Lytechinus pictus: one gene and its partners. The main gene of each other region encodes a partner of the protein of the gene in region 2 in a complex. Links are inferred from orthologs where the notes say so. Each region holds a gene or a part of one and is shown on either strand. Other genes may lie near its edges. The genes, in order: dynein regulatory complex subunit 3-like, F-box and leucine-rich repeat protein 13-like and dynein regulatory complex protein 8-like.

Region 1 (7,317 bases), on a different chromosome or scaffold from region 2:
ATTAAAGACTGGAGAACATTCGAAAAATTGCAGGATATTTTGTAAAATTGCAAGTACGGTACTTTTCGAGTAAATTCCAGGAAGTTCCGTTTTGAAAAGTGGAAGCACTGAGCACCACTGATATCTGAATAGTAGGCCTATACAGATCAGTGGGCAGCGCCCAACACTTGGGGGGAGCAACGGATCGCAAGTTTCATTTCATTTCCACAATTCCGAAACGTTAGAAAACGTTGATATAATAACATAACGCTAAATAGGGTACTAAAAATACAAAAAATATTTTAAAAAGAGGAGGAAAAAAAGGACCTCCCATTTTGAAGATGAATTTGATCAGATCTAGTCATTAACTACTCATTTTCGTTTCATGGCGGTGGCCTAATATCTTTTAAGGATACTGCCTTCAATTTAAAGGCTAAACTCAGGGGCTGATCCAGCTCCCGCCAATAGGGGGGGGGGGGCCGAAATTTTTTTCACCCATATTTTCCCCGATCGGCCGCTCAATGTTGATTTTTGTTTGTTTCTTTGAAGGGGTTGTCTCGGTGGCGTAATGAGCCAGTTTTGAGGGGCTTGATACGGCATATTGTGTAAAATTAATGAGAAGTTGCGAGCGAGCGAGCAAAAATTTTGACATTTTGATTACAAAAATCAAAGTTTGTGATAGATTTTTGACATAACATTTGACAAATATAGGCATATATATCACTTATCCCTTTTCTTTTCTCCCCATTTTTCTTGGTCGTGAACAATTGGGGGGGGGGGCAAAACGCCGATATCCTAACAGTCATTTCTTAGCTTTATTTTTATAAAACAACATAAAAATGTAATAATCTCTTCAGCCCTATTTGAATAATACAAGCGCAAAGCGCGAGCTGAAATTTCATGTATTTTGTCCTGAAAATTGAATATTCTGGGCAATGTTTGTGAACCTGAACAAGATGCGTATGTAACTAGATAATTACTGCGATAGCGAAGCCCGAGCAGAAATTTTCAAAATTGGTTCTGGCTTGATCGAAAAAGGACCTGTTAAGACCGATTTGCAGTTAGCCATTAAGACGATACATATTTCAACATTTAGATAATGCGAGAGCGAAGCGCGAGCTGAAAATGTTTTGACATTGCGAGCTATAAAATTGACATTCTAAGCTCTTTTTAAAATAAACGGCATTGGTGAAAAAAAACTAAACAATTGATGCGAGCGCAAAGCGCGAGCGAAAAAAAGATATTTCAGACCTAAAAATGGGACACTCTATTCATTTTTTCTAAATCATGAAAAAAGAAGTTCTTACATTAATAATGCGAGCGCAAACTGGATAATTTTAGCACGTTTTGAATAAAGATCAAGCTGCATATCTCAATAAACATGTGTGCGCCTGTTTTAGAGTTAGACAGAATCTGAGCATTCTGAATACATTTAATTTTTATCATGAAAATTGATAATGTGATCGCGAAGCGCGAGTGGAAAATATTTGATATTCCGATATAAAAAGGGTGAATTTAAATACTATCTAAAGCACTGTGCAGGGAAATTGTGAAGTATATGTGGATAACACTTAATAAATGATGCGAGTGCGGAGCGCTATAGCTGATATTTTTATTATTATTCTGACCTAGGACCTGGACATTCTAAGCCTAAGGACATTTTGTCATCATATGAAAATGATGACTATCTTCATATTCCTCTTCCTAAGCGCGATATGAAACTTGTCGAAATTCCTTTCTGAAACAAGGGACAATTTAGTTATTAGGAATTCATTAAAATTTTATTATCATATTTATTAATATAATAAGCCTAATTAGTGAGTAAAAATTTGTTGATATTAGAGGCCAGAAGACTGAATATTTCAAGCACTTTTGTAAGCATGAATAGGATTTATGAGTTGATATATTTTTAACTACTAATGCGAGCGCAAAGCGCGAGACTATTTTTTTTAAACTGTCGTAAAAGGGGGATTTTGAGTAGTTTGTTATAGAATTGATATATTTATAAAGGATCTTATGGAATACACAAAGACAATATGTAGGCCTACTTGGCAAAGCAAATAATGCGAGCGCACAGCGCAAAAAGCTGCAAATGAAAATTACACCATAAAACAGGCATTTCACAGAGCACTTAAAAAAAAATCAATTTTTAAATAAAAAATAATAATAAAAGCTCGATGTCCGAGCTGAAAAAATGTATTGACTTAAAAAAACTTGATATTTTAGCTACACATCAGCCTATTGAGCAAGATATGTATCACATCGAACACGGGCTATGCGAGCGCGAAGCGCGAGCGAAAATCTTATAAAGTCACATGAAATATATATTTTCAAATTATATTCCAAGTCTTTCCCTGACCTTATTTTATTCACTCGTCTCCCTCCTCTTATTTTTCCTCTTCTTTTGTTCTCCTTTCTTTCCCCTTCTTCTTCTTTCTTTCCCTTTTTCCCCTTTTTTTTGCTCCGCCAATAGGGGGGGGGGGCCTGGATCCGCCTATGAAACGTATTTGTTAATGCGAGCCGTCTGTGAAATAGGGCCTACGTCTATTCGACTGTAATTCCTATCGACTGAAATTTGGGGATTTCTGTGTTGCCTTTTTAAAAATTATTTATTTAGATCTTTTTTTTTTGGCTCTTTACAATGGTTTGTTAGCTTATGGGAGAGAATCGTCTCGTCCCACCGTGCCGTCTCGAAAAATTTTTCAGCCATATTTTCCCCGATCGGCCGCTCGATCGTAGTTGATTATATTTGTGCCTTATAGCCACTTCTTAGCTTTATTCTTATAAATCAACATAAATATATTATACTGTCATATTCCTTGTTTAGATAGTGCGAGCGTGATCGGAGCGCGAGCTAATTTCTTTTAAAATTTCATGTAGCACCCTATTCTGTCCTAAGATTCTGAACAGATGTGTATGCAACTGAATAATTACTGCGAGCGCGAAGCGCGAGCAAAAACTTTAAATATACGTTTTGATCTGATCGAAAAGTGACATCATGCTTGCAGTTAATTAAACATGAAGACGTTACATAATTTCAACAATCAAATAATGCGAGCACAAAGCACGAGCTGAAAATTTTTGACATTTCTACCAAAATTCCAAGCACTTTTTGTAATCGTGAACAGGATAGGTAGGTTTTACATAACCAAAGAATTGATGCGGAAAAATTCGAGATTTAGACCTAAAAACGGGACACTCTATTCATGCTTTGTAAACCATTAAAATGATAAGTAATTGGGGATCTTCCAACATTCATAATGCGAGCGCAAAGCGCGAGCCAAAAATTTTTGATATTCTGATCTTAAACTGGATAATGATTTAAAAAGAGAACAAGCTGTCTATCTGAATAAACATGCGCGCGTGTGTTTCCGATTTACTGGGTATTCTGAATGCATTTTTTTTAGGCAGACTGAAATAAAAAGAAATGTTTCATCGTCTATTTTTATTTTTACATTTTATATATATATATATATATATTTTTTTTTTTTTGGGGGGGGGGTGGTATTTCTCTTCATGCTCAGGGTTCGCGAAGCGGGGGGGGGGGGGCTGGGGGGCTTCAGCCCCCACTTTTTCCAAAACCGTGTACAAAATCGTAAAAATGACCACATGATTGTGATTTTTTGCATGGTCATGCAGCCCCCCCCCCCACTTTGAAAACCGTTCCGCGGCCCCTGATGCTATTCGTACTTCATGCCAGGGGTGGCTAATGGGGCCTTGTGAGACTTCCCCTTGTCCACAACTAAATGACTGTTTCTGGGGTTTTTTTTTTTGGGGGGGGGGGGAATTGTCTGTTTGTTTTCTTGTCAAAAAATTGAAAATTGAAAATATGCCTACATCCAGTATCCAGTCCATTTTTGATACCTCAAGTCAACTTAAAGTGGAAAGTAAAAAAGTCATATTTTAATGATGATAAGCCTACTGTTAATATGACATAATATAATCATATTACAAGTAAAAAGATCAACACAGTAAAATGAATAATATTCAAAACGAAATCAGAAGAATTGATATAGGGAGAGGGGGTTAACTAAAAAGCAGATCGAGCTGCTTGTACTGTGTATGCCCCCTGTAATATTAAAATACATGTATATCATATTAATTTTGTATTAAGAAAACAAACAAAAAAACGACTTAATGAATGAAATACGTAATAAAAATCATTGATAACTATGATAGTCTCAAGTTCTAAAAAGGCAAGCCCCCCCCCCCCCCCAAAAAAAACATTTCGATAGTACAGTATTAGTCGCTATCTGACCGCGTTTTTACATACGACTACGAGCGTGCTCATAATTCCGATCGCACTTATTGGTCGCTCATTTTAATCGCTCCATGACAACAATTGACGCCACATCAAGCAGTCCGTCCGGTCGGATTTAGGCATTATTAATTCTGTAAGTTATGACATTTGAGTTATATTGAATCAATTTTGTAATAATACTCAGTATTATCGAACGGTGAAATATGTTGGATTCCTGAAAGTCTATCACGGTTGAGGTTATTTTCAGTTGATCAATAGATGGAAATATTAAGATTTTAGTTCGGTCCCACGTGCAGAAATTTTTGTAAATGTAAGGCCCACGGCCATATTCTTTCTAGAACAAGATGAATAATTGAATCAATTGGCGGAGCTAAAAAAGGGGAAAGGGAGAAAAAAAAAGGAGAAGAGAGGAGAAAAGAAAAGAAGAGGGGGAAAAAAAAGCAGGAAGGTGATGAGTGATTAAGGTAAGGGGAAGGAATTAAAAAAAAAATTGATGACGATGTCACTGAAATTCAAAGTCAAACGGTCTAAAAAAAATTTTGCTCGCCCTCACATTGCATATTCGATGGAGTACATATCTGCTCAATTAATAGGCTAATATGGAGCTTAAAAAATCAAGCTTTGAAGTCAATAATAATATGCAAAACTTATTTCACTTTTCAGCTCGGACATCGAGCTTTCCTCATAATCACATTTTGTTTGGATTTAGTTTAGGCCTAGGCCTATAGTTAGATCTACAAGTTGATTTTCAAAAAGTGCTCTGTAATGTCTGTTTTCTTGTCTAAGTATCAACACTTACAGCTCGCACTCGTATTTCAGTCGTCAAGTACCTATTCTCTTTGTGTATTCCATAAAGTTCTCAAAATATCTCCTTTACAGGTCTGATTGTCAAGACCTATTAGCTAGCGCTGCTCAGTCGCATTTTGATTGGTGAGTAATGTAACCGGTACCTCTATAGTGTTAATAACAAACTATTTAAAATTCCCTTTTCATGACAGTTTATCAAATAGTTTAGCTCGCGATTTGCGATCGCATTAATTATTAAAAATATATATTAGCCCATGCGTCCTATTCATAATTACAAAGTGCGTAAAAGTCCAGTTTTCAGGCCTTAATTTCAACAAATTTCATTAGGTTTATTACATCAAAAAATAAGATAGAAACATTTTCATGACTTCCTTATAATTAAATTATCCCTTTTTTCAGAAGGGAATATCAGCAAGCATTATTATGCACTTAGGAAGAGGAATTGGTAGACAGTCATCATTTTCCATATGATGACAAAATGTCCTTAGAACGTCCCAGTCCTAGGTCAAAATAATAATAAGTTTAATAAAAATTTTAGCTCGCGCTTTGCGTTCGCACCATTTATTAAGTGCGATGCATATCCACTTCTCAATTTTCCTACTCAGTGCTTGAATTAGAGTTTAATTGACAACTTTTCAGATTGGAATACCAAATATGTTCAGCTCGCGCTTCGCGCTCGCATGATTGATTTTCATGATAAAAAATGTATTTAGGATGCCAAGATTCTAAGTCTAACACTTGCGCACGCATGTTTATTGAGACTCGCGACTTGTTCTTTATTTAAAACATGCTTAAATTACCCAGTGTCAGATCAGAATACCAAAGAATTTCTACTAGCGCTTCACGCTTGCATTATTAATGTAGGAAATACCCAAATTACCCATCCTTATCATGATTTACAAAACATAAAGAGTGTCCCGCTTTTGGGTCTAACTCTCTTTTTTTTTCCGCTCGCGCTTCGCGCTCGCATTGTTTAGTTATATACATATCCTATTCATGATTGCAAAAAGTGCTTAGAATGTCCATTTGTTCAGGTCAGGATGTCAAAAATTTTCAACTCGCTCTTCGTGCTCGCATTATTTGATTGTTGAAATATGTATCGTATTTATGGCTGACTGCAAACATTCCTTAACAGGTCCCTTTTTGATCAGACCAGAAAGTATACTGTACGAAAAATTTCTGCTCGCGCTTCGCGCTAGCAGTAATTATGTAGTTTCATACGCATCTTGTTCAGGATCACATACATTACCAAGAATATTCAATTTTCACGACAAAATACATGTAATTTACCCAAAAAAATAGCCCGCGCTTCGCGCTCGCACTATTTAAATAGAGCTTATGAGATTATTATATATTTATGTTGTTTTATATAGATAAGAAGTGACTACCCCTTCAAAGAACCAAACAAAAATCAATTTTGAGCGGGTGATCGGGAAAAATATGGGTGAAAACAAATTTCAGGCCCCCCCCCCCTATTGGCAAAGGCTAAATCTGCCCCTGGTGACGCATGTCTGCGCACCTAAATATTGACTGTAAAGCGGATTGAAGATTAAACCTGTCTTTCCTTAAAATTACACAAAAAGCTTTATTTCATATTATATTTTTTCTTATATTCTGGTCAAGAAGAAGCTAGTGATATAGTGCAAAAAATAAAACTTGTCCATAGATGATCATGGACTATGGCATGCCAAATTAATTAACTTCATAAAACTGTGATTTTTTTCAGATCTTGATGAAAAGTGTGCAAAAGAGACATCTACCAAATTTCATAGTAATTTATGAATTGGTTTTTGAATAATCATATGACTTTGTCTGCACATCTATTCATTTTGCACAGTAATTGAATTTTTTTTGCCTTCTATTTGCAGATCTCTGTGACCCTGTTAGGTTGATTAATTTTCTGGTGTTGATTGTGAGAAAGTGAATCGTCAATATGAGCCGGCTGTATGACACAGTGGAACCATCCGTAGTGGATGAGATAATGCTTCAGAAAGCTGTAGAGGAGCAAGGTCCTAAAGAAGAAGCAGGAAGAATAGCCAAGGCTGAAGGAATAGACTTTACAGATGTAACACAGCTCAGATTAGACTTCAAAAGTAAGGAAGTGTGTTCTGTGCTTTGAACATTGCCAACTCTATAATAATGTAAATTAATTATCTTATTGTCCCTACTAGACTTAAATAGTAAGGAAACATGTTAAAGGGGTTCTATGCTTTGAACAATGCCAAATCTGTATACTAAATTTGAATAAAAATATAATTTATCACTAGAGA
Region 2 (7,254 bases):
CCCGGCTGTAATGTGGGTCAAAATAACCCAGCTCTAATAGGTTTTAGACCCAAGACCCAAAATATATAACATACCTGAGGACACCCTGACATATCAAGATAGACTAATCTCCTTCCTCCTTTGCCAGTCCCAAGATATTGAAGCCCTTTGTCACTGTAACGTTTGCAATATGCAAGGCTCAAGTACTGTAGGTTGCTGCAGCACCTATATAAACAAGTCATTGTAAAAACGTAATTATAGTAATTATAATTGCTATTAAATATCGTGCTTAACACTTACTTTATCAGAAGCCTCTAAGCACTCTACAGTTAAAATGCAGCATAACCCAGGCTTTAGCAGAGCAGCTGTTATGTGCACTGCATCCAAAGGAAAAAACTCCTGCCAGGTGCCCATTTACCTCACCTGGGTTGAGTGCAGCACATTGTGGATCAATTTCTTGCTGAAGGTAATTACGCCATGGCTGGGAACTGAACACTCTACCCTCTGTTTCAAAGTCCGGAGAATAATCCACTGTGCCACAACGTTCCACATATAATTGTCAAACCTGATACATACTACGCATTTTTCAGAGTTAGATAAATAATGCAGTTGACTGAATGCTTTAAAATCTTTTGATGAATGAAACAATTTTAGTCCTGCAACCAAATCTACTTTTGGGGCCCAACCACGTTTTGACATTCATAGTCTTGTGTGTTTCAAAGGATTATGATTGCTTACACATATTTTTTAAATAATATTATGCAATACGAGATATGGCTGCCTTTGCCTTTTAAAATGTATAATTTAGAAGCATTCATGTCCTTTGGTTAAGGCTTTTTATTTACATTTTCAACTCTCCACCCAGGTGTAGAAAATCAGTACCTGGGAGGAAGGAATTCCTTGAATGCTCAAAAGGGGGCAAACATTGCATTAAAGCGAGTAGTCTTGCAAATATCAAGACAGAAATAAATCAAGGCATGAATTATACACATATACATGTAGATGTATTTACCTATTTACCTATGACAAATAAAGAACACATTTACCTGGCTAATAATCTCAGTGTAGCATCTGTGATGTTGGTGAAGGAGACATTGAGATAAAGTAAGACAGAACAACCTTCGGCTACATACTTCATAGTATCATCATTCAGTCCTGGACATTCTGATAAGTTTAAATCCTGCAAGTTACGACATTGACCTGCAAAAAGAGAATACATACTTGATATCAATAGGAAATGGGGAAGGGCATTGCAAAATGTATTCCAGAGTCTTCAAGCTTCTCAGGACACAAACATATACATTTTTTATTAATAAATAAAATTGTAGTATAGTAGTGTAAACAGAAAAAGAAACATCATACAAATTATACAGTGTACAACAAAAACAAATATTTTTGTTGAATAGTTACAGAATGATAGTGAGTTATTATACAATTAGTTATAAATTATACAACTCATACAAAGATTTTTGTTATTTGATTATTTTTTAAGTTGCGCTTTGTATCCTCTAGTGGTTTTGACTCTTTATGTTTCAATCTGAGGGATGTGGGTTCGATTACAAGCCATGTCATGTTTCCTTCAGCAAGAAATTTACCCACAATGTGCTGCACTCAACCCAAATGAGGTGAATGGGTACCCATTAGGAAGAGCTTCCTCAAATGCTTGAGTGCCTAGACAGCCCAGCTAAGGCCGGGGCAATAATAATAGCAGGGCCCGCTGGGAGAACAGTTTTCAGAATTGTAGTGGCTACCCAGGGTAACCATGCTGTTAGTGGTAAGAATCCAGCTATTAATATACAAATAGCGAATAGGCATGAGTGCAATGGTGCGAAATTTCACATGAGGTGAAAGAAAGATCCTCTATTCAACGAGGCATTAGCCTGAGTTGAATAGAGCGTCTCTTTCTTTCACCGAATGCGAAATCTCGCACCATTGCACGAATACGAATATTCGCTATTTGTGTTGTTTAAAGCCTCAGAATGAAAAGGGAGCAAAATTATTAAAAAGCGAAAAGCAAAATCCCACAAGCGCACGTGACCTTGGGCAGCATTGCGCATTTAGCCAGCAGGCTATACGTGTATTGCACCTTAATTTTTACTGAGCGCAATGAATTAAATCGTATTGTGACGTCAACTCCTAAAGCCGTGCAACGGTACATTTTGGATGGTACGTCATGTGTGCAACTGTAAGAATGTTTGACATTCAGCCTCCCATTTGCTCGCGTACAACAAGCTAAGTAGGCGTTGTACGATAGTAAATGCTTACCAATGGCTTTGAAGCTTGGTTTGGTGAGCATTTTGCATCCTTTGATGTTGAGATGAACAACATAGGGCCTGTAATGCTGAAGGAGACTTGTCACTACATTGTCAGTCACACTGCCAAGGGAGAACATTGAATTTAAATAGAAACAAAATCTTTAAAGAAGACAGGAAAACAGAATCCCAACATTTGGCAAATAATATATGTTTACACACCATTGAGCTTCTATAGCTCGGCTCCAGCCTGGCAAAAGAGTCCATCTGCAAATTCGCCCCCGTAAAAAACTTTTTGAGAAAATCAGTTTTTAAGTTTGAGCATTTAATCTACTTACAGAACAATTGAGAGTTAATTTTAGCTGTTGGACTCTATTCTATCACTTAGTTTACCTTTGGAAGATTATCATTATTATTATTATTATTATACCCTTGCTCACCAGAATTGTGTAAAGGCTTTGAAGCTGTGATAAACAAACAATAAACAAAAAACAAAGAAACAAACAAACAAACACACTTACATGTTCTTTGTCTTTGACAGGTCAACCTGTGAGGAAAAAATTAAAAGAGGGAAAGTAATGAACTTACAAAATAAATTTAAGGTGACAGGTGCCCTAATTTTTTTTTTTTTTAATGATTTTATTTTTTTGGTCTCCTTTGCTAGTTTCATGTGTGTACTTCATCATGCAACTTGTTTTATCTCAATATTCTACCTCTTTTTTTAATAAGAGGGGGGTTAAAACATATTTTCATAAAATTCTCAAACCGGAAGTAGTATTTTACACACCGGAAGTGATTAAATCTGTCCCCAAAACCTTTGATACTGCCTTAAAAAAAATCAGAAAATCCCCAGATTTTTTTTGGCTGAAGCCCCAGATATTCCATGTAGCAAAGTGGACTACCACCCTCTGTTGGCCAAATAGGGAGAGCTACTGTATTGCACAATATGGCAGCGACTACAAGTTACATACACTATGTGACAGACTTGGCGCGTTACAAATGTCCGTTATTATTAGTATTATAGCCCTTTCTTTATCGTGATATTATACAAAATTGAGGTTTTTTTAATGAAAAATGTAATAACTCGAGTTCTAATCATTGGATTTGCATGAAATTTTGTAGAATTGTGTATCTTGAAGAGTACAACAAAATAATGATAGTTTTTGTGCATGGTACCCCCACAGGTGGAGTTGTGTATAAAAGTCCTTTCTGAATTTCTCATTATCTGACTGCTTGTTTAATCCATAATTTTTACAATTCTACTCTGAATATTTCTTAAAGCCATCATAAATTCATCACAAAGAAGTCAGAGAATTAAATTAATCCATCAAAACTTAAATTACACTCTATGTTGTGAAGTTATAACCATAGAAAGTTCATATAGAGAAAAATCATGATTTTTAAAGTCATGACTTTGAATGACCATATTTTGCTTATGCATAAAGCTAATATGCCACAGTGCAAATTTTTGTGTAGATCAGCTCATAAGCTTTCCAAAAATATATAGTTTGTTGGGGTACAGGTACTTAGTAAGAATCCTATGCTTGATTATATACCCGTAGTCGTTTCCGCACGGTAATAGGGCACCTGGCACCTTAACTTTAACAAAGGCACCAAACTTTGAATACTACTTATACTCTGGCATTTCCCTTTTGTACAGTACTTGTAGTAACTTAGGATCTCTTTGTTGACTTCATTTACATCAATATTTGTAGTTAAAAAAAACATATAGGAAGCTGTTCTTCTGAGTATGTTACAAATTGGCAACGAGGATGCTCAGAAAAGAGTCTACGAAAGCCTTAAAGTCTTCATTTTGCTGGTCAAGGGACTGCTAATCTGTGAGACGAAAGTTTGATCCTAATTTTGAGGTCATAAAGTGACATTTTCTGGTTAAAGTTGAATTAAGAAGGGGGTGAGTTTCCATAAATATAGGTTCTACATACAATATATAGTATATATAAGTTGTTCAAACAGATAGCATGTCACAAAAATCCTCTGCCTTCTCGATATTTTGCTTTGAAAGTCTATGAAATTAGCCACCTGTCAGAGCCCGAGAGACGAGTGTACAGAAAAGTCACTCGGAGTGTGACGTCACCGGGGGGAATTTAGTATAAGAGGTGCCTGAATGTCATACAGAAATGCTATGCAGAGAGAGAAAGATATTTTACAAATTTTTTTCAAAGCAACTCAAATCAAACAAATATGACTGATATGTACAAATCTTTACTTTCCCTGTATAAAAAACAGTATGAATAACCACCATGAACTCTTCAATCATGATGTAAGATAGCAAACAGTGAGTTATTGAATGATATTTTCATTATTTCTCATTTATTTTATCACGATGTTCAATCAAGTGAGTAGCTGGAAAGTAATTCCGGCGGCGAGCTCAGCGCGCGCTGAACGCATAATACTAGTACACACAACACCCAGCTAGGCATTGAGTGTACTGTTATGGTCTGGTATGTCGACTTAGTTCATGGCCGTGCAGCGATCCCCTGGCGTTTTTTCTTCTTTTCTTTTGTCTTTAATTGACTCCACTTTTATATCCTCTGGATCATTTCCACTCATAGCTCATTCCACAGAACAATCTTGAACCAAACGTATAGTATTCTTTCTCGGCCTTCTGGGTTGTTTTCTATATTTAATTACGCTAGGGGTCACCGTCACACATACAAACGCAATTCGCAAGTGAGTTGAAGACAGAAAGATATATATAGTAATTAGTATACATCTCTATGGTTGAAGACAACAAGAACGGTGCGGTCGCTCGACAGCTAGCTGCGCCGGAGCGGGCGGCCGGTCGGCACAAAGCAATTCCGCAACCAACTGTGTTTTTTTTTTCAAGAGCCGCGTCACACGCGGATAAATATGTCATAATAACACGTCTGCTACGTTATCGACTGGTGAGAAGATCTCGATCAAATTTCATATTATTCACCTTGAAATTATTCCTTTAGGGTCTATGGTATCATTCTGAGGGAATTCACATATTTGGAATAATAGTACGGCCACAAATATTTTAATCATTTCCTCTTTGCAAGTTCTATGGCTCGCAGATACAACTTCAACTGCAGTTATTCCATATGAAGGAGTACGTGCATAGTACACAAAACGGCACTGCTTTACCCCCCGGTGACGTCACACTCAAAGAACACCCGTCTCGGTAGGCATTGCAGGAGCGAACTCAGGGAAAATGGGTAGGGATAAATCGTTCAAATTCACTATTTTGAAAAAAGAAAATGGGGGGTCGAATCACCTATTAGTGTTTGGGGGGTTGTAAGGTTGCTATTAATGTAAATATCTCAATATTTGGAATCGTCTTCTTAATTCAACTTTAAAGTTACCGTCGTACAGTTGATGGAACTAGGAAGGAAGTCTTCGTGTATTCGCACATGGTATTCGCACGTGTATTCAGTCAATGCGTGATACAACATGGCGACGCCCAGTGGCTATATCGGACGGCTAGGGAGCTTTGAGAAGGCTCGCGAACCTTTTACTTCATATGTCGAACGTATGGAACTGTTTTTCATGGCCAATAACATCGTTGAAACTTCCCAGAATGCTGAATTCGTGAAGGAACGGAAAAAGGCAATTTTACTAACTGAAATTGGAACAGAAATCTACGTAACCCTCGCAAATTTGTTAGCGCCTAGCAAGCCGAAAGATGCAACATTTGACGACATCATCGATAAGTTGAAGAATCATTTCGATCCTAAGCCGTTAGAGATAGCTGAAAGTTACAAGTTTGGAACAAGAAATCAGAAACAAGGTGAAACAGTTGGTGAGTTCATCATTGCCTTAAAGAATTTATCCTTACATTGTAATTATGGATCTTTCTTGAATAGAGCTTTGCGAGACAGATTTGTTTGCGGGTTGGCTGATGAACAAATTCAGAACAAACTGTTGAATACTCAAGATTTAGATTTTGATAAAGCCTGCCAAATTGCGTTGTCGATGGAGATGGCATCAATAAATGCTCGTGAACTTCGTTCTGTTCATAATGCTGGAAGTGTGAATAGTCAGAAAAGTTACACCCGTAAAGCTAAACCAACTAGTCGTGGAGGTAAACCCAAACCCTCTAATGCTGAAAGTAAAAAGCATGGAAACTGTTATCGCTGTAATTCCAGAAATCATCCACCTCAAGAATGTCCAATTAAAGGTTCACAATGTTTCAAGTGCGAGATGAAGGGACATATAGCTAAAGCTTGTAAGTCAAATAGAGGAAAGACTAGTGTACCGAGTAAAGGTAAATCGCGTCGAACTGGCGGTAATGCTGAAGTTCATGCGTTGGATGAAACTGATGATCTAGAGAAATCTATGCAACATAATTCGAATTTGTATTGTGTGTATGCTACAGATTCGATCAATAAGTTTGAAACAGAAGTTGTAATCAACAAGAAATCCTTGACTATGAGGATTGACACCCAGGCAGATTGTTCTATTATGAGTAAGGACACATATGAGAGAAACTTCAGTGATGTACCTTTGAGACCAAATTCATTAGAACTCAGAACATATTCTGGTCAGCAGTTGGACTTGTGTGGTGAATTTGAATGTGAAGTCACCTATGAAGGGAATAAATTGTTGTTGCCCATGATGGTAACAAGCTACACGAATCGTCCTACACTGATGGGTAAGAACTGGCTGACTAAGTTGAAGTTAGATTGGAATAACGTGTTCCATGTTGAGTCTTCAAAATTGCAGAGTCTACTCCGACAGTATAGCGGAATGTTTGAAGACAGCTATGAAGGGATTTCTGGTGTGGAAGCGCATGTAAGAATCAAGGAGAATTCAACTCCAGTCTACTGTAGACCGCGACCAGTACCGTACGCACTGAAAGAAGAAGTTGAGAAAGAGTTAAGAAACCTTGAGAAAAACAAAGTCATCGTAAAGACAGACTACAGCGACTGGGCAACTCCGATCGTAGTGGTGCCGAAAGCCGATGGAGGTGTTCGTCTTTGCGGAGATTATAAGACCACAGTCAATCGAGCAGTTGATGATGAGTGTTATCCTCTTCCCA
Region 3 (7,299 bases), on a different chromosome or scaffold from region 2:
GTCACCTCTTCAACTGTAAGATGGCCTTTCTTTTCAACATCTAGTACTTCAAATGCCTTGACAAGCTGATCCTCAGGGGATGGCTTGAATCTTCAAAGAAACATTTTCAAAAAATAAAAATAAGACGAAATATGAAAATGAAACACTGCCCAACACATGATGACATCCCCTGTCATTCCCATCTGTTATCTTTCTCTCTAATACTTGAACTTTTTAAACACTATAGAAGGAGCATCATCAAAACAATTTATAACGTTTATCTTTTACATTGATTCTTTTTGCTAGAAAACATTGTCATACAAAAATTTCCATCAAAAGATATAGCAGTTAGGGGTAAAAATGATAAATGTATTCAGATTATAGCAAGATACACCTGACCTGATGATCTTGATGATGACATTAATACAATTGTTTAGATAGTGACAATAAGTAAGAAAGAGGAGGAGAATGTCAGTCAGTTAACAATTTACATTCTGATTTAATGATGAGTAAAGTTAGGATATAAAGAGCACTGATGCACCTGCAACCCAGATTGTCATCCATCTCATCTATACTTCCACTCTCATTTAACTTACTTGCGTTCCATGAGAACTTCTCGCATGATTGGCTTGTAACGATCATACTTGATGTATCCTGTGGGCTCCTCCTCTTCCATCTCAGACAAAAGATCATGGAGTTCACCTTCACTAGGACAGCAACCTAATGACCTGATAATGGTCCCAATCTCCCTGTAACACATGAAGAAAAAAAAAAACAATCACATTAACAACATCACATGCAGTAATTAAGATAATCGCAAGTGTAAATATGACAACTACAGCAACTTGGAAAGTTGAATGTGAATTTATATGGTTTCTCAATTAAAATTAATATCATTATTAGCATACATGATTAATTGTAGGATGAGTATCCTGTTCTACATCTTAGTTTCTAATAAAAAACTGTTTTCACTTATGGTTGCACAACTTTATTATATATCCTACGCTTTCAGCCAATACTTCTGTCTATTACTGTTCAACCTAACTCAATAATAGTAAAAATAAGAGGAAGGTATCATTACTCCTGTCTGCAGGCATAGACCCTGAATAAATCTTGAATAAAAAAGAGGGTCTTGGGACAAGTCTAGCACTGCAAATACATCTTGGAAAAAAAAATAAGGGGGAAAAATCTAAAAGAATATAAAAGAAGCTATTAGAAATCATTTCTGACTGGTTGCCATTATAAAGCCAAGCAAAGAAGTTCTAAGTTCTGAATTCGGGCCTTTGATACGTAAGTCCAGTCAGGACTGTAAGGCTTCCAATTCAGACCACTCTTTCCAAGCTTATTGGTTTGTACAACTAACTACCCTACCTTAAAAAAGATTCCCAAAAGCCAAACAAAATTTTCAGGAAACATCAAATCAAGGTCCACCTGAGCATACATGTATCAATGAGAAATATGGTACTTTGAAAAAAGGTTTTTTTACTTTAGTGAAAGAATTTAGTCCAAAAAGATTGCCCAACATAAAGAGAAAATATATGAAACTAAAACAGGAAACTATACCACCCACAAGCTACAAACATTACCCAATTATCATATTCGATTCAATCAATATTTAATCATTTACTCACCTAACATCAACAGTCTTATTAGACTCATGGTCGAAGATATCAAATGCATCTGTAATTTTCTTCTGAATATCCGCAAGCAGTGATTCTGTGTTAAAGTTATTAAAAATATTACTTAGCGAAAATCTACCTGTAACTTTATTTAAATGTACAAGTTTGCTCAATCCCAATAAATGACAGTATATAGGGGTATCCCCATCTTGATTCATTCAACAAATCAACAATTTGAAATCCTATTTGATCAACTTCTTCAAATATTAAACTTTAGGAGCACCAGTCATCACATTTTTCTCTCATTGCTCTATTTTGGGGCACTATACCCCAAGTTACCGTGCACAAACTGATAACAGTGATATGGGAAAAAAATATTTTTGTGGATTTTGCTATTTTTAAGGAAAATTTATTTTTATTTATAGGTGTCCGATCAAATAAACATATGGATCGGAATTTGGTTCTTTCATATAAAACTTTTTTTAAAGATCTAAGTATATAATGATATGGAATGAAATTCCAGGCTATCATATACCCGTCATATAAGTCATACATTTGTATACAGTATAGACAGCTGGCAGCTGTCTGCTTCGAGGAGTTTAAAACATTTTTTAAAATTTCTCCTCATACACAGACGGCTCGCGATCGTGCAGCTGCCATTAGGGGGTTAAAAATGCAAAATCCCCCCCGATGGTGCTCATCGATTTTTGTCTTTATTTCATAAAATATGAAAAGAACTGGACCAAAATAAAGATTATTATTCTGTTTGGCCTTAAATGCACCAAAACGGGGAAAATAAATTTAAAAGGACACAAAACAGTGACTTACTTCGGCTGTCGCGCAACTTCACTTTCCTGGACCTGGTATATCCGAATTTAATACATAAACATATGATATAGCCTATGCCAAATATGGCCATTGATTGAGTCCCTGTACAGATCGAGTTAGAACTTCGGTCTCTGTAATTGGTGAGTGGAGCCAACGGAGTTCAGCGGAACAACCAACATAACAGAGACCGAAGCTTTTGGTCTACCCTTGGCCTTGCTTGGTGCGGTGGCTAGCCATGGGCTGCCAGCTGCCGCAGTAAAGTGGTAAGAAGCCTAGCGGACAGCCAGCCGCGGCTGGGTATAGGGGTACGGGCTAGTTGGCGGTACGGTACGTGAGAGCGGCTCGCTCCTGAGCTGAGCCATGCCAGTTTCCAAACACGACGAGAAATCAATTGCAAGTTTTTAAATTTACTTCATTACAGATATACGTGGGTAACGACATTTTTCTTTCTACCAATTCCCAAAATAATTTTCAAAGTTCATTATGTTAGAAATATAGATGACCAAGCTAAAAGTAAACGATATTTACCAGCACTTTCTTTTTCTTCTGCCTGTGCCATTTTGAGCTAGCCGATCGAGAGATTGTTTACATATACATCATATGCATGTGTTGCTACCGTACCGGCAAACTAGTCTGCATGCACAGACTCTGATTAAATCTTTGATCAACCAGTGAGTTTTCACACAAGACTAGCAAATAAAAGTGTTGTTTTGGGGTTTTTTTTGTCCTGTTTTGTTTTTGTTTTTGAAATTTGTTTTCTCAGTGCGTAGTTGCGTACCTCCCTTTCTGCTTTGCTATGTAAGTAAAAAATATAAAAGTAAAGAAGAAAAAATATAAGGAAAGATAAAATGTTTATAACATAGGCGGATCCAGGGGGTGGGGGGGGGGCTCGCATCAATGTTCAGTTACATAGCTATCTTGTTCACCATTAAAAAAATCGATTAAAATTTTCCATTCTTTACCTTTTCAATATCAGTTCAAAACATATATAAACATTTTATGCTCGCGCTTTGCGCTCAAATTATTAAAGGGATGGTCCGTGCTGAAAATATTTATATGTTAATACATAGAGTAGAATCATAGAGATGTAGTATATATCTCTATGAGTAGAATTCACTTCGTATGGTCCAACAGCCATAGATCGGAATAATTTGGAATGAAAATATAACAGAATAATGATCAATTTTCTTAAAGGGATGGTCCGGGCTGAAAATATTTATATCTTAATACAGAGAGTAGAATTCTCTGAGCAAAATGCCGAAAATTTCATCAAAGTCGGATAACAAATAATTAAGTTATTGAATTTTAAAGTTTAGCAATTTTGTGAAAACAGTCGTCATGAATATTCATTAGCTGGGCTGATGATGTCACATCTCCACTTTCCGTTTTCTTATGTTATATACATAAAATAATATTTTTTCATTATTTCATACTTGTGTGAATAATATATCTCCCTTATAATGAAATAAGTTGTAGCAATAAATATCTAATGCACTAAATCAGTTGTCAATCCAATTTTTCTAGTTCTTGGAGGAAAAAAAATTGAATAAACCTAATTTCATATAATAAAATACAAAAGAACAAGTGGGGATTTGACATCATCAGCCCACATAATGAATATTCATGACGATTGTTTTCACAAAATATTGCTTAACTTTAAAATTTAATAACTTTGTTTTTTTTTATCCGATTTTGATGAAATTTTCGGCATTTTGCTCAGTGACTTATATTTTATTAATTAAGGTATAAATACTTTCAGCCCGGACCATCCCTTTAAGGTAAGATCCCCAATTATATACTCATCCTTTTCATGATTTACAAAACATGAATAGAGTGTCTCGTTTTTAGGTCTAATCTCGAAATTTTCCGTTCGCGCTTCGCGCTTGCATCAATAATCTTCACTGTTTAAATTACAAAAAGTGCTTAGAATTTCCGTTCTTTAGGTATAGCTCACGCTTCGCGCTCGCATTATTTTGATTGTTAATGAACTGGAATACAAATACCCTCTGTCCTCTTTTTTCTGACTCATTAATATGCAAATGCCGTCCGCCGGGGACAATAGATAGTAAATGCATTTGCATATTAATGAGTCAGAAAATAAATAATTAAAAAATATTAATGAGTCAGAAGAAGAGGATAGAGGGTATTTTAATTCCAGTTCATCGTTACTTAGCCGTGAACCAGAATAGCCTGGTGGTTGAGTCGCTGCCCGGCAAGCAGTAGATGACAGGTTCGAATCCCATGCACTGGTTCCAATTTTTTCTGACTTATGATTTTCATTACAGATCGAGCATGCGATCTTGAACACATGGGAGCTAAAATGCCGAAAATTTGTTTACAAATTATTATTACCTCCGATTAAAGCTTCTTTATTCACTATTGCCCAGAATGTTCAAATTTTGTCACAAAATACATAAAATGAAATAAAAATTAGCTCGCGCTCGCATTGCAGTGCGTATCAAAAAAAAGTTTACACTTTGAAAAAGCCCTGGGAATTAAAAAAATATACAACATGTGGGTATTTTTTTCACAAATATTCTTGGGTTTGGGTCTCATCTATCCAATGAAAGTAAACATTTTGACAGAATGTTACACTTGAGTGAACACTGTCCATTTGTGTAAAGCTCGCAGAAATCTGTTTGCGCAGACATGCTCATTTTCACGCTGTGTCAAGGGGAAAGGGCGAAATCAAACTTAACCTGCGAAATATTTCTCATACATTTCCCTTGCACTTTTAGTAATTGAAATAAAAGGGATACATTTAAGCATTTTGTAACAATTTTGCCACCCAAATTGAAATTTCAACACTTAGTAAGCACAACCTTTACCCTTTTTGTGCCAGCTGGATCTGAGGAAATAACTGAATCTGAACAAAAGTTTATATCAGACATCTCCAGCATTTTTTCACTAAGTTTTTATCATTTAAAGTGGGTTTACATTTCATTTTTCATTTAATACTTGTTTCTCCACACTTTTTGCAAGCTTTACAATGATTAACAAAATGAAATTCAAGCCTACGCCATTTCAAGTAAATCACAGCTCAGTGTAAAGCAAATATCGTCACGATGGCCTTAAGGGTGTGTGGGGGATTAGGTTGGGGCGCAATGCACTCTTCAAAGTGTTTTGGGCAAGGAAACAAGTTAAAAAAGGTAAAAGATATCTTCAAATCAATTTTACTAGCTAAATTTAATGTGTTATTCATGATTAAGGTCTACTTTTATTCGCATAACTAATTTTAAAGTTCTGCGCAAATCATTTTTCACTAACTTTTCAAAAGTAAGTGGTGCTCACTCAAGCGGAAATATTTTTCGACAGTTCGTAATTTGCTTAAATGGATCTGTACCAATGTTAAAATGTGGAAAAATCTTCAGGATATTACAAATGTATAATTTTACAGGATTTTTTCTAAGTGTAAACTTTTTTTTATACGCACTGTATAAATAAGGATTATGATATTATTTTTTTTATGTTGATTTATAAGAATAAAGCTAAGAAGTGACTATTAGGACTACCACTTCAAATAAACAAAAAATCATCTTCGAGCGGCCGATCGGGGAAAATATGGCTGAGAAAATGTCCGCCCCCCTCCCTATTGGCAAAGGCTGGATCCGTCCCTGCAAGACATGCACAAACCCCCAATCAAGTGTATACATGCAGCTATTATACACAGCTGTTGTGTATTATGATAATTGGTTTAATTTGTATCTCGGTTGGCACCTAAATTATGACTGTCAACTACCAAATCAATGTTCGTTTCACTTTTTCCTTAATCGAAAAAAAAACTTTACCCCAAATCATATGAAAAAAAAAACAAAAAATGAACAAATCAGAACAGGTGTGTACGCCGTTCAGGGCCCTGTGAAAGATTTTTTAATACTGGGTTGTTGTTTGTTGGAAATTAATGGCGACCAGTCACTGGGGTACAATTGCTGGAGTTTTGTCGTCAGAAAGAATTCCGACAAGCCACCCCCCCCAACAAAAAAGGGGGGGGTTATTGTTTACAAATCTCCCTCATTATTTTGGGGAGTAATAACCATTTATTATTATTATTAATATTTGTTTTGCCTATTTGTCAACCCGGTCTGGGAGGTGCTGTATACACTGTAAAAACGCTGTTTAAAATTTTAAGCAAGTTGTTTAAGCCTGTCACTCTAACAACTACCGTTTAAACTTTTTAAACAGCTGTTGAAACTTTTTAAACAAGTTGTTTAAAGAGTAAATTACAGAAAAGTTTATACAACCTGTTGTTAGAGTGACAGGCTTAAACAACGTGCTATTTTTTTTTACTGTGTATGGTATATGCATGCAGCATCCCTCCCCGTCCGATCCCCGCTACCATCCAGCAGTGGCGGTTTATTGCCATATACTGCCAAATGGTCTAATGTCATTTCGTCTACCATCAGTTGGTCCACTATCCATTACCATTTCGTCCATTTACCATTTAGTCCAATAGCCAGTTGGTCTAATAACCATTTCGTCTATTATCGATTGGTCTAATAGCCATTTGGTCTATTGCATTTTTGCCAATTGGCCCAATAGCCACTTTGTCCATTTTTATTACGTCTATTACCATTTAGTCCAATAATAATAATAATAATACTAATATGTCCATTTATATAGCGCAGTTACTATGTGCATATACTCAACTGCGCTTTGATACTTGGTATAATATTATGATAACTAAGCCGCCATATTAATAGGCGATAAAGCGTTCAAGGAATAAATCCTGCCGGGTACCCATTCACCTCACCTGGGTCGAGTGCAGCACAATGTGGATGAATTTCTTGCCGAAGGAAATTACGCCATGGCTGGGATTCGAACCCACGACCCTCTGTTTCAAAGTCCGAAGACTAATCCACTTTTATAGGCCACA

The links.
Region 1: F-box and leucine-rich repeat protein 13-like (region 2) and dynein regulatory complex subunit 3-like share a complex: the UniProt entries of both Homo sapiens proteins name them as parts of the nexin-dynein regulatory complex. The link is inferred for Lytechinus pictus from reciprocal best matches to the Homo sapiens genes FBXL13 and DRC3.
Region 3: F-box and leucine-rich repeat protein 13-like (region 2) and dynein regulatory complex protein 8-like share a complex: the UniProt entries of both Homo sapiens proteins name them as parts of the nexin-dynein regulatory complex. The link is inferred for Lytechinus pictus from reciprocal best matches to the Homo sapiens genes FBXL13 and DRC8.

The regions. Positions count from the first base shown.
Region 1 is NC_087254.1:18,111,254-18,118,570, forward strand, and holds the start of dynein regulatory complex subunit 3-like, read left to right. Parts: upstream 1-4,283; 5' UTR 4,284-4,373; intron 4,374-5,119; exon of another isoform or gene 5,120-5,170; intron 5,171-6,915; 5' UTR 6,916-6,980; coding exon 6,981-7,140; intron 7,141-7,317. UniProt on the Homo sapiens protein: Component of the nexin-dynein regulatory complex (N-DRC) a key regulator of ciliary/flagellar motility which maintains the alignment and integrity of the distal axoneme and regulates microtubule sliding in motile axonemes.
Region 2 is NC_087249.1:13,414,940-13,422,193, reverse strand, and holds the start of F-box and leucine-rich repeat protein 13-like, read right to left. Parts: upstream 3,004-7,254; 5' UTR 2,902-3,003; coding exon 2,753-2,901; intron 2,355-2,752; coding exon 2,245-2,354; intron 1,180-2,244; coding exon 1,026-1,179; intron 205-1,025; coding exon 75-204; intron 1-74. Other genes in the region: uncharacterized protein K02A2.6-like, read left to right, coding at 5,667-7,254. UniProt on the Homo sapiens protein: Substrate-recognition component of the SCF (SKP1-CUL1-F-box protein)-type E3 ubiquitin ligase complex.
Region 3 is NC_087251.1:23,721,126-23,728,424, reverse strand, and holds the start of dynein regulatory complex protein 8-like, read right to left. Parts: upstream 3,066-7,299; 5' UTR 2,986-3,065; coding exon 2,955-2,985; intron 1,696-2,954; coding exon 1,611-1,695; intron 729-1,610; coding exon 576-728; intron 91-575; coding exon 1-90. UniProt on the Homo sapiens protein: Component of the nexin-dynein regulatory complex (N-DRC), a key regulator of ciliary/flagellar motility which maintains the alignment and integrity of the distal axoneme and regulates microtubule sliding in motile axonemes.